Linked DNA regions of Sus scrofa. The protein of the gene in region 1 purifies or fractionates together with the protein of each later gene. This does not show direct contact. Links are inferred from orthologs where the notes say so. Each region holds a gene or a part of one and is shown on either strand. Other genes may lie near its edges.

Region 1 (6,446 bases):
ACGCGCTCGAACTCCGTCTGGTTGGTGGTGGCTGGATTGCGGCTCTGGTTGGTGGACTGCTGGGTGATCTGGCTGCCCTTCCGGCGCGGCGGGGCCAGGTACTCGAACATGGACGTCAGGTGGGTGGACAGCATGCCCTTGAGGTCCGAGGGCATGGGGTCGGACCAGAAGAAGTCGTGGTTGAGGGCGTCGTCACTGTCGATGCGCTGGGCGGGATCCAACACCAGCAGCTTGTCGATGAGGTCCAGCGCGTAGGGGTCACGCACGTAGGCCTTCAGCCTGTCCTTCACCTTCCGCTTCTGGCCCTTGACCAGCTCCAGTTTCTCAAACAGCTCATACTTGTCCACGTTTGGCCACACCTGGGGTGGGAGGCGTGGAAGGAGGATGGCGTGAGTTCAGGAACCACGTGGCCTGTTAGGTCAAGCACCCGAAGGGACCAACACTTCTCGCTTCAGATGCTCCCAGACCGCCCCCGAGGGCACACTGGATGCCTCCAAGGTAAAGGCAGCAGTAACCGCTGTACGTGGCAATTGCTAAGCACCAGGCCCTCTCACACCGACTGCCTGCAAGCCCGATACAGCCGGCTGTTGCCCGGAAGAGGAGCTCAGCTCTGAAAGGTTCAGAAGCCTCGCCCAAAAGCATTGACCTAACCGGTGATGGAGCCGGTGAACACAGTCCATGTGGCCCCAAAGAGCAGATTGTGACCCTCCGCCAGCCACCTCTCCCTCTGCTCCCCGCCCTGCCCCTCCTCTACCAAGGAGAGGTCTGGATCTCTGCAGCCTGCGGGGCCCAGACAGCCTGGCGACGCACCTCAGGGGTGATGGAGCCACAGAGCTGGCTGATGAGGGCAAGCTGGTGCTGCTCCGTGTTGCCCTGCATGATGGGGCTGCGTGTCCACATCTCCGCCATGATGCACCCGGCACCCCACAGGTCGATGGGGGGGCCGTAGTCCCGCTCCCCTGAGAAGAGCACACCAGGAGGGCCCCTTGAGCCCGGCCTCCGGAGGCGCGGGGCCCCAGGGCCGGCAGCTCAAGAAGCCCAGGCAGGGGGGAGCGGAGGCTGGCTAAGGGCCCAGCCTCCTGCCCCTCCTAGGCCTGCTCAAGCGTCCTCACCGAGCAACAGCTCCGGGGGCCGGTACCAGAGCGTCACCACACGGTTGGTGTAGCGGTTGGGCTGGCTGTTCTTGGCAAGGCTGAAGGCCCGGGCCAGCCCGAAGTCGGCCAGCTTCAGCACCCCGTCGCGGGTGATGAGCACGTTGGCCGCCTTCATGTCCCGGTGCAGGATCTGCGGGAAGCACACGGGCGGGGGTAGCCAGGGGCCCTGAGCCGCACCCACCCCGCACGGAGAGCCCAGGCCAGCCTGGGTCTCCCCCCGACCCCCGACCCCGGCCCCCACCTTGTTCCTGTGGATGTAGTAGAGGCCATTGAGCAACATCTGCATGACCCGCTTGATCTCCGACAGCGTGAACTTGACTAAGACGTTGCTCAGCAGCCCGGCGAGGTCATGTTCACAGAAGTCAAACACCAGGTATATGCTGCCTTTGCAGCGGTTATAGGGGGAAGCTGAGTCAGGAAGCACGAGGGAGAAAGAGAGGGGTGGGAAAAAAAAAAAAAAATCAAAAACCTCACACGCAACTCATCTTCCCACAACCAGCTCCTACCCCCTCCAACCTATGGACAGTGGGTATGTGGCTGCCCATTCCTGCACGGGTAAAATATTTTCTGAGTGCTTCTCTGGGCCGGGCGCTGTGGCAGGCCCTGGGGAAGCACCTGCTCCCACAAAAGGACCCGGGAAAGCAGTTGCAGGTGGTGTGTCTGGGTTAAGAAGAGGCAGTGAAGTGGGTCCGGTTCCAGCTCCGCCAGCAAAACCTGAGGCGAGAAGCCTCATTCTCCCCACCTGAAAACGGAGGGCAAGATCCAAACAGCTTACCTTTGGTTCGACAGATCTCAATCAGGTTGACCACGTTCTCGTGTTTTAGGAGCTGGAGGATCTTGATTTCCCGCAAGGCCGTGATGGGGAACTGGGTGAGAGAAAGACAAGGAGGTCAAGAGCGGGAGAGCACACTACTGACCCAGGAACTGGCCATGGGATCCACAGTAAGGGTCGAAGGTTGGGAGACAGAGTCAAATCGTGGGCTCTGAAATGAGCTGCCTCAGATGCCATATTTAGAACACGGGCATACTAGTAGAAAGTACCCCTTCGGGAGCTGGTTTCAGACGATGACTTGAAGTTTTGCTACTTCACACAAATGCTTTATGACTAGCCATTAAATGCTGCACGGTTTCTTTAAACTCATAATGTAGAGCTCTGCACCCGTGTTTAACCTGTTACATGGTTAACAAGACAAAAAATAAAGAAGCAGGTCTTTGGGAAACTGGACTAGAGCTACGATGGGGGGGGGAGCATTTCAATTGAATACCAGTTACTCTTTTAGGGCTATGACATATGATTTTTTTTTTTAAACATTCGACAAAAGTAAAGCCCAAAGGAAAAGTGTTTAAAAACTTCCTAACTTCAGGAACCAGGGTGCACTCAGTGCAAGCATGAGCTCCCCCTCCTGGCACCAACCACGTGCACCTGAGAATGAAACATCAAACTCTTTAAAACATTTGAATTAAAAGATTTAACCTGAAAGTCAGATTCCATAGAACACAGAAATTCCTAAACACATAAATTCAACCTCAGCATGAAAGTCCCAGAAGCAGGGTGGAAACCCAACCTCTGCCCAAGGGACCTAGCAGGCCTGCCCACCCGCCCCGTACTCACCCCCTCCTTCTCGTTCTCCATCAGTACCTTCTTCAGAGCCACCTTTTGGCCGGTCTTGCGGTGCTTTGCCTTAAACACCTCCCTGCAGGCCGAAAGGGGGACCCAAGAGGACTCTTGAGGCCGTTTCCGCAGGGCCCGCCCCGCCCCCACCAGAGGAGGGCAGGAAAGGGAATCCCGGGCGGGGCTGGGCCGGGTACAGAGGGCCCTCGGCTACACCAACGCGCGGTATCTTCGGTCCCTCTCCGAGCCTCTATTTCCTTCCCTTTGCCCTTTCTCCTCACCCAGGCGCCGCTGCTGGGAGAGATCCCGCTCCACTCACAGGCTCCTCTCTGCAACCCCTCCCTGCCTCCCATCAAGGGCCTCAGGCTCCTCCCCGCCAGCCGGCTCGGTCAGGCACGGGCGGGCTGCGGTGCGGCCTAGCGAGACCAGGGGACAAGTTTGCGGCTAGGTGGCTTCCCAACCAACTGGACACGGGCCTGGGCGTCTCGACATCGGTCCAGAGGGGTGCAGGCTCAGGGCTCCTGGTCCCTGGGGGCCCAGCCTTACCCGAAGGTGCCTTGGCCGATTTTAGCGAGCTTCTCATATTTGGTCACCTCATCACAAAAGGGGCACTCCACCGAGTCGTACTGCTTTGCCATGGCCGCCTCCAGTGCGCCGCCGCCACCTCCAGCCGCCGCTGCCGCCGCCGCTCCCGCTCCGGGTCCCGCCGCCGTGCTCCAGGCCCCTCCGCGGCCGCGCCACTTCCGCCTCCACGGCCACTTCCGGCCCCGCGGCGCCGACCCCGCCTCTTCCGTCCGCCGTCCGCCGCCAGGCCCCCTGGGACTTGTAGTTCCCGGGAGGCCAGGAGGAGCCGGAGCTGCAGAGGCGCCTCCGCCACCGCCGCTGCCCCCGCCTCCGCCGCCGCCAGTGCTGGCGGCGGCCCCGATCGGGGGCGCGGGGAGCCGGGGCGCCGGGGCTGGGGCTCGGGGTGGTGCGTCCCGCTGCATCGGCTCGGGCCGCCGCTGCTGCCGAAGCCGCTGCCGCTCTGGCGCCCGATCCGGGGCCAGCCGCAGTGCCCTGCTCCTCCTCCTCCGACGGCGCCGCCTCCGCCAGGCTGCGCGGGGCGGCGGGAGGGGGGCGCCCCCCAAGCCTCGGCCTGGGGGCTCCCTGGCCGGGCCCGGGCCCGGGGCGGCCGGACGAGGGGGCCAGACGGAAAGAGCCGACGAGGAGGCGGCCCGAGAGCCCGGGAGGGGGCGCGTTATAAAGGGGGAGGTGCCCCGGCCTCGCCCTCCCCTCCCCCTCCGCCCGCCCCCTCCCTCCTCCCTCCCACCCTTCGCGGCCGCACCTGCCGCCGCTGCCGCCGCCGCCGCCGCCGCCGCCACTGCCGCCCGCCCGCCCGCTGTCCGCCCGCCGCCCTCGGCGCGTCACCGCCCGCGGCCCCTCCTCCGCCTTCGGAGGTGGGGCCCCGCGCTCCACACCTGGCTGCTGGGCGACTCGCCGCGTGCCTCAGTTTACCCACACATGCCAGCAGCTTCAGGGAACCCCTTCCTTCCCAGCTCCGGGTGCCCCCCTACAGGCAAAGGAGGGAGGCGCCGAGGAAGCAGCCTCGGGTCCAGAGAGGAGAGAACGGCCCCCACCGCCCGCCTCTCCGGGCCCCCGCCGGCCGCCGTTGATATGGCAACCGATGGCCGCCAGGGGGCGCGGCGACATTGGAGGCGGCAAGCGAGCAACTCCCGGGCCCCCTATTCTCTGGGAGGCAGGGATGAGGCCCAGGACCCCCGTCCCAGCTGAGCTGTGCCCAAGATGGTCGTGCCTGGGTCGGTAGTCACAAAAGTAGCCAGCATTTATTCGACAACCCTTGTGTGTTCAGCAAGTGCTGGGCATTCCTGCGGAATCCTGAATCAACAGCCCCATAAGTTAGGGTCACTAACCCATTTTATAGAAGAGCACATCGAGGCTCAGAGAGGTGAAATCATTTGCCCGAGGTTACACAGTGACAAAGCTGGGACTCGAACCTTGTCTGTCTGAATTTGAAAAGGATTCTCTGACTCAGGCTATTTACAGTCTGTCCAGGAGTATAGCAGTGGTACTGTTTGAGGCCCGCTGTCCATGCCAAGTTCCAAGCCCACCATTCACCCATCTCCTTCTCTGGCTCTCTGCCCCCTTCCCCTCCCCTGGCCTTTCCCCAGCATCTTCCTGGCTCCAGGAGCTTCCTGTTTCTTCTTCCAGCCCTACTCAACAACCAGCCTCCCCCCAAAGCTGTCTTTTCTGTCTCCTCTGTGCCGCTTCCATCTGCCTGCTCCTCCCCAGTCCTCTGCCAGTGGACCCTGGGACCTGTCCTTCCCAGTCTGCCCTCTCCATCTGTCCCCCTCCCAGCATCCGCCAGATCAGTCCCAGGTGGAGTCCCTCCACTGTCTTCAGGAAAAGTCGAATCGTGACATTTGAGGCTCTTTCCAGCTTCCCTCCTAGGCTGTGGCCACAGTGTTCCTAAGGCCCTGGGCCTGCCGTCTCCAGGGCTGTGCACCCTGATTGCACCCCAGTATCTCTGCAACCAGCAGGAAGCCCTCCCCGGCTTACTCTCCAGCTCTTAGCTCACATGGCTTGGCCTTGAAGCTCCCTTGTAGGAGTCAGGAATGGGTCTGCTGATCCTAGGGTCCCAAGAGGGCTTGTTCTGCCGGGGAGGGCCCTTTCAGGGAGGGTCTTGAGGGTCGGGCGAGGAGCCGCGAGCCCTCCCCTAAAGGCCGTGGGGAGTTGGCGAGGGTTTTAGGCATGTCAGGGGGCGATCTGGGGTCAGCTTCTTGGGTACACTACTAGAAGCAGGGCAGCCATTGGCTGAATCGGGGGTGGGGAGGTCAAGGAGGGAGAAAATAATAAGAAGTGTAGTAATTACAATTTATGGAGGGAAAATAAATGGTCCAAACAGTACACTTAGCACTTTATGGGAATTATCTCAATTCTCACTCAGCAGTATTATACTGTAATTACCTCTCCTGTACACAGAAGGACGCTGACACTCAGAGATGACATCACCCGGCCAGGGTCAAACAGCTCTCTTGACCCTGGTCAGTCAGGTGCCAACCTCAGGCAATGACCCGCATCAGGATCCCGCCCACTGGGGCTCGGGGTGGAGTTAGGACACAGACACGGCACAGCCCTGCCAGCTGGGTGCCCAGGATGCCAGTGGGTGGTGTGGGAGGGGAGGTCTGCCACGGGTCTGGGTGTCCTCCACCCCAGACTCTGAGGCCGGAGCCCCTGTGTGTTTCTCACGAACCCTCCCGAAGTCACATCCTGTGGGCAGAGGCCTCAGCAGAAGTTCCGGTGGTGTCATCACCTCCCACCATCCCTGCCCTGAACCTTGACATTGCCGGTCACTTCCCCTCGGGGTCTCGGCCTCTCAGCCCTCCCTGGGGGAGGCAGGCAGGTAGGCAGAAGCCCTTTAGAGGGCTGCGCAGGCCTGGGACCCCAGCCCACCCAGGGGGAAGGGAGAAGAAATGAGGTCCTAGCCAGAAACAGTTTCTCACTGCCTTTGACTCCCGATGTGCTGGTTTGAGAGACCTCTCTCCTGTGTTCATGGATCCCTTAAGCCGGCCAGGCCAGGCACGTGGCCGGTCCTCAGGCTGTTTGCTGACTGACTGAGCAGGCCCTGAGAGCATTAGGGAAACTGAGGCACAGAGTAGGAAAGGGAGCCCCTGGCCAGATGT
Region 2 (5,967 bases), on another chromosome or scaffold:
GAGAATTTCCTACAGAAATGGTTAATAAGGGGGAGGACTTTTTTTTTAAGGCCATACCCATAGCATATGGAAGATCCTGTGCCAGGGATTGAATCCAAGCCACAACTGCAGCAATGCTGGATCCTTTAACCCACTGTGCTGGGCTGAGTATCAAACCTGTGGCTTCGTAGCAACCCGAGCTATTATAAGTTGGATTCTTTTTTTTTTTTTTTGTCTTTTTAGGGGTGTGCCCCTGGCATATGTAGGTTCCCAGGCTAAGGGTTGAATTGGAACTGTGGTTGCCAGCCTATGCCATAGCCACAGCAGTGCCAGATCCGAGCCACATCTGCAACCTACACCACAACTCAGGGTAGCACTGGATCCGTAACCCACTAAGCTAGGCCAGGGATCAAACCTGCATCCTCATGGATACTAGTCAGGTTTGTTTCTGCTGAGCCATGACGGGAACTCCTATAGTTGAATTCTTAACCCACTGCGCCACAGCAGGAACTCCAGGGAAAGGAGCTTTGAAGATTAGTGATACTTGTTTTTTGAGTTCAGAGGAAACTTCATGACTGTGAACATGCTAAGTTTTAAGTATTAAAGGGCAAATTGCTTGGTTTTTCCTGTACCGGATATTACTATTTAAAAAAAAAAAATTCCACAAGTAAAAAATAAGCATTTTTTAAAAATTATGAACATGTTAAAATCAAATCAGGTAATACAACATTGTGAATCAACTATACTTCAATAAAAGTTTTTTAAAAAATGAGTGAAAGGTGATTGTAGCTGTGGTGATAAACTGGGCTGCTGTCATCTGAATCAGCGGTAGAGAATTACAGGCCCGAGGTCTTTGAGACTCTTATTGGTCTAGGGAAGTACGTTTAAGAGAACTGAAAAACAAAAATGTGTTTCCTATTTCTTTCACTTAGGTTGTCTCCTGGCAAAATTGCCGGCGCTGGCATTTTATTCGTTGGTGGTGGTATTGGTGGCACTATTCTGTATGCCAAATGGGATTCGCATTTCCGGACAAATGTAGAGAAAACCATACCTTATTCAGACAAACTCTTTGAAATGGTTCTTGGTTCCCCACCTTATACTGTTCCATTACCAAAGAAGTCGGTAAGAGTTTTAAGAACAGTTTCAGTTTATCCTATGGTATACTTTGAAAAGCAGGTTGTTTTCATATTAAAAATATTTTGTATGTATAGTTCAGTAGAATTTTCTGGGTATATGTTTGTCATTTTTCTTTAAATTGACCTAATATTATGTTGAGCTGGATTCCCTTTGGAGTCCTATAAGTGCTCTCATTTAGTCCACGCCACATAGAAAAAAATTATATGGCACACCAGGCTAAATGGAATGGTGAGCTCAGGCAGAGCTTATTATAGTGAGCATGCATTTCATAAGTTAAAATAATGAAACTTAAATAAAAATAAAATAGATATTGTTCTTTTGTTTTCTTTTTTCTTTGTCTTTTTAGGGCCACACCCATGGCATATGGAAGTTCCAGGCTTGGGGTCCAGTCAGAGCTGCAGCTGCCAACCTATGCCACAGCCCCAGCAATGCGAGATCTCTTCTGTTTCTGTGACCTACACCACAGCTCACGGCAATGCTGGATCCTCAACCCACTGAGTGAGGCCAGGGATCGTGGATACTAGTCGGGTTCTTAACCTGCCAGGCCACATCGGGAACTCCTAGATATATTTCTAATTTTCAGTAGTGACAAAATTCAGAACCTATTCTGTTACGTCTGAGTGGTCGTCTTTGGGACCTCTGAGTCCCAATGCCAATTTCTGGCAAAAAGGGGGACAACATAGGCAGTAAATGAAAATATTTCTTTTACTCAGTAATTTTCTCTGGTACATTATCTAGCAGTCCTGTTCATGAACAGTGCCTTAAATTAGGTGGTTATTGAGAAAGATAAAAACATATTACAGTTAGATGATATATCATAATGTGTAAGTATGTGAATCTTGGAGATTAAAGAAATAAAAAACAGATTTTAATTTTTATTATATTTTTTCTTTTTTGGCCCCACTCGAGGCATATGGAAGTTCCCGGGCCAAGGATCAAATCTGAGCTGGAGTTGTGTAACCCACTGTATTGGGCTGGGGATTGAATTGGTCCTTCCACAGAGGCAAGCCAGATCATTAATCCATTGTGCCACAGTGGAAACTCTGAATTTTAATTTTTACTAAAGTTTTTTATTTATTTGTCTTTAAAATTTTTTTGACCATACCCACAGCATGTGAAAGTTCCTGGGCCAGGGGTTGAACTTGAGTAACAGCAGTGATGTGAGCTGCTACAGTGACAACACCAGATCCTTAACCTGTTGTGCCACAAGGGAATTCCCTCATAGCCATTTATTTATTTATAATCTTTTTTTAGGGCCGCAACTGCAGTATATGAAGGTTCCCAGGCTGGGGGTCGAATCGGACTGTAAGCTGCCAGCCTACATTGAAGCCACAGCAATGCAGGATCTGAGCTGCATCTGTGACCTACGCCACAGCTCACAGCAACACTGGATTCTTTTTTTTTTTTTTGTCTTTTTGTCTTTTTTTTTGTTGTTGTTGTTGTTGTTGCTATTTCTTGGGCCGCTTCCGCGGCATATGGAGGTTCCCAGACTAGGGGTTGAATCGGAGCTGTAGCCACCGGCCTACGCCAAAGGCACAGCAACGCAGGATCCGAGCCGCGTCTGCAACCTACACCACAGCTCACGGCAACGCCGGATCGTTAACCCACTGAGCAAGGGCAGGGACCGAACCCGCAACCTCATGGTTCCTAGTCGGATTCGTTAACCACTGCGCCATGACGGGAACTCCCTGGATTCTTGACCCACTGAGTGAGGCCAGGGATCAAACCCACATCCTCATGGATACTAGTCAGCTAGTTACCGCTGAGCCATGGCGGGAACTCCCCCTCATAGCTTTTTAAAGAACATTTGTTTCTAACCAAATGTATTTAGAAAGAAAATAGAAATAGCCTTCTTAGTGTTGTGTATGTAAAAGGAATGGTGTTTAAAGTGAAGGCCCATATATCATATACTTTATTAGTTTCCCTAAGAGAAGTCTTTGTTACTGTTAAAATATGGACTAGTCATTTGGAATGAAATTTTTGGACTGCATTTTTCTAGTATGATGGCTTCTCTTACTATGGTTAATAAAATACATTGTTATGAATTATTGATAACTTTATGTTAAAAGCCTGGAAGACTTAACTTTTAAAATAATACAAGTTACTGTATGCTACCTCTTTTCATAAATAATATTATATCTGAAATGTTAAATGTTTTTCATTTCCAAGATTCAGTCTGGTCCACTAAAAATCTCTAGTGTATCAGAGGTAATGAAAGAATCTAAACAGCCTGCTTCACAACTCCAAAAACAAAAGGGAGACACTTCAGCTTCAATAACAGGTACTTATATGTAGAATCATTCTTTTAAAATTATGGGTAAATGAACTGTTCTAATGTATTTGTACTCATCATCGGGGTGGGGGGGCGGGGGCTGGTCCCCATGAAGGACTCTTCTCTCACCCTGGGGAGGGAATATTCTTACCTGTCACCTTGACTTCATTTTAGAGGTTGAGTGGGATATGGAGTTCATTTTATTGTGAACAGCTCCTGAGTAAGGCTAACAACAAGAATTGTCTTGCCTGCAGCAGACTTATTTTTCCCCTTTTCTCTGACCCCTATCCTTTCACCTTTTTAGATTTTAAGGTTTATTTTCTTTCCCCATCTCTTTTTTCTATCTGTTCACCGGTTCTTTCCTCTCTTCTTTCATAGTGATGAAAGTGTCCTGAGGAAGTTCCCTGGTGGCTCAATGGGTTAAGGATCTGGCATTGTCACTGCTGTGGCTCGGGTCACTGCTGTGTTGCAGGTTCAATCCCTGGCCCAGGAACTTCTGCATACTGCAGGCATGGCCAAAAAAAAAAAAAAAGAGAGAGAGAGTCCTGATCTAGTCTTGATCTACAGATGTTTTTTGCCTTTATGATTTCCCTGTAATCCCCACACTATTTACAGCATTTAACTAATCCTAACCTGTTCAATATACTTTTGAATCCATTATGTTCCTTCTTAGTCACTTCTGTCCTTCATTAAATCAGTTGACTTTCAGAGTTCCCGTTGTGGCTCAGTGGTAACGAACCTGACTAGTATCCATGAGGATGTAGGTTCGATCCCTGGCCTTGCTCAGTGGATCTGGTGTTGCTGTGAGTTGTGGTGTAGGTTGCAGACACGGCTCAGATTCCACGTGGCTGTGGCTGTGGCGTAGGCCGGCGGCTACAACTCCGATTCAACTCCTAGACTGGGAACCTCTGTAGGTCGTGGGTTCAGCCCTGAAAAGACCAAAAACAAAAAACAAACAAAAATCAGTTGACTTTTATCTAGCAAATATTCACTGAGTAGCTACTATGTGCGAAGTTCTGGGTGTCTTCTAGGCACTGGGGCTATATCAGAAAACAGTAAAAACAAAAACAAGTGCTGTGAACATTCCTCACTGGGATGAGAGGAGGGAAATTGTATATACATACACGAGTAAAATATATATAGGATGTCATACAGTGACAAGTGTGGGAGGAAATAATGCAATTTTAAATGGAGTGGGAAAGAAAAGTTTCTTCTGGAAGGTGTCGTTTGAGCAAAGACTAGAAGATGAGACCGTCAGTCACATAAAAGGTGCGTAGGGAAGAGCATCCAGGCAGAAGGATTAGCTAGTGCAAAGCCTTGGCCTGTTCTAGCAAGAAGCAAAGGAAGCTGGAGTGGAGTGAGAGGACAGGAGCAGATAGGTCAGAGAGGGAGCAGAAAGCCTGTGGTAGCAGTGAGAAGCGGCCATCACAGGAGTTTTGCTTCCTAGTCTGAGTGGGAAGTTGTTTGGGAGGGTTATGTGTCAGGGGATTGATATCTGACATTTATTTTCAAGATCACCAGTAATTGTGGAGGATAAGGAACCAAGGGCAGAACAGGGAGACCAGTTAATGGGCTTTGTGGTAATCCAACTCTGTCTCTTAAATGGCACCTTCAATTTACTAAAAATATAATTTTTTTTTCTCCATTTTGTTGCTTCCTGCCTCACATCTATTCCACCTTCAGAATTAATCATTTTCTCTTCCATCAACAGTATTATTTATAATTTACAAGCTCTTGCTTTTTTAACCCTCTTTTTTTAACAATGTCTACAAAATAGTTTTTTTAGCTGAGCTCTGTGCATTATTGACTCAACATCTAAACTGTGACCTTTTCTTCTTGAGATTAAAATGTCATCCTGTTCTTGCTCACACCTCTTCTTTAATCTTGATAACTCTTCAAAGCAATTAAAAATATTTTTTGGTTACTTTCTTTTGTCTGCCTTCTTCATTACAGGTTATTCCCTTTGTTATTATTTTTCATGTTATGTAAATATTATGTCCTCTTAAGTTCAGATTTACTACCATTTACTACCGTTACTAGAAGCCTTGCATGAGAATAATGGTTACAATGCAGGTGGATGCTGACAAGACTTCTTTCCCTTGTGCTTTTCTAGCCTTTGTTCATCTTGTGAGGGTTTATGCAGTGGACAGTGCCCCTAACTAATTGTGGGTTTGAATAGTGGCAGCACACATGTTTGTGTCTTTAAGGAGTCAGATGAGAAGTGGGAGATAGTAGTAGTGGTCTCCTGTGTGTTTGTTTCTCTGTTAACCCAGGAAACTATAAATACCATGCATAACATATTTATAGCACCTACAGAGGCAGCTCAAATTATTTCTGCAGCAGGTGATACACTGTCGGTCCCAGCCCCTGTGGTTCAGCATGAGGAATCTATAAAAGCCGATCGCCCTGCAACTGGTGAAGGAAAACCTAAGCCTGCAACTTCAGGTAGTTAAATTATCTGTACTCATGGTCTTATAAATGATATGCTCATCAAAACTCTGTAATGTCATGGCGATCCTTAGAAACTCTGTAAATTCACATTTATACTAGCTTTAAGTATGTAGACTTGTTTAGGCAAT

Evidence for each region. The genes of interacting proteins can lie anywhere in the genome.
Region 2: the proteins of CDK9 (region 1) and IMMT purify together in Homo sapiens (affinity purification with mass spectrometry; 3 studies listed by BioGRID, with this or other methods). This does not show direct contact. The link is inferred for Sus scrofa from reciprocal best matches to the Homo sapiens genes CDK9 and IMMT.

What each region holds. Positions count from the first base shown.
Region 1 is NC_010443.5:268,274,041-268,280,486, reverse strand, and holds the start of CDK9 (cyclin-dependent kinase 9), read right to left. Parts: upstream 3,405-6,446; coding exon 3,313-3,404; intron 2,849-3,312; coding exon 2,767-2,848; intron 2,021-2,766; coding exon 1,930-2,020; intron 1,563-1,929; coding exon 1,396-1,562; intron 1,285-1,395; coding exon 1,113-1,284; intron 960-1,112; coding exon 811-959; intron 360-810; coding exon 1-359. UniProt on the Homo sapiens protein: Protein kinase involved in the regulation of transcription.
Region 2 is NC_010445.4:58,594,669-58,600,635, forward strand, and holds part of IMMT (MICOS complex subunit MIC60), read left to right. Parts: intron 1-911; coding exon 912-1,101; intron 1,102-3,285; coding exon 3,286-3,397; intron 3,398-5,695; coding exon 5,696-5,833; intron 5,834-5,967. UniProt on the Homo sapiens protein: Component of the MICOS complex, a large protein complex of the mitochondrial inner membrane that plays crucial roles in the maintenance of crista junctions, inner membrane architecture, and formation of contact sites to the outer membrane.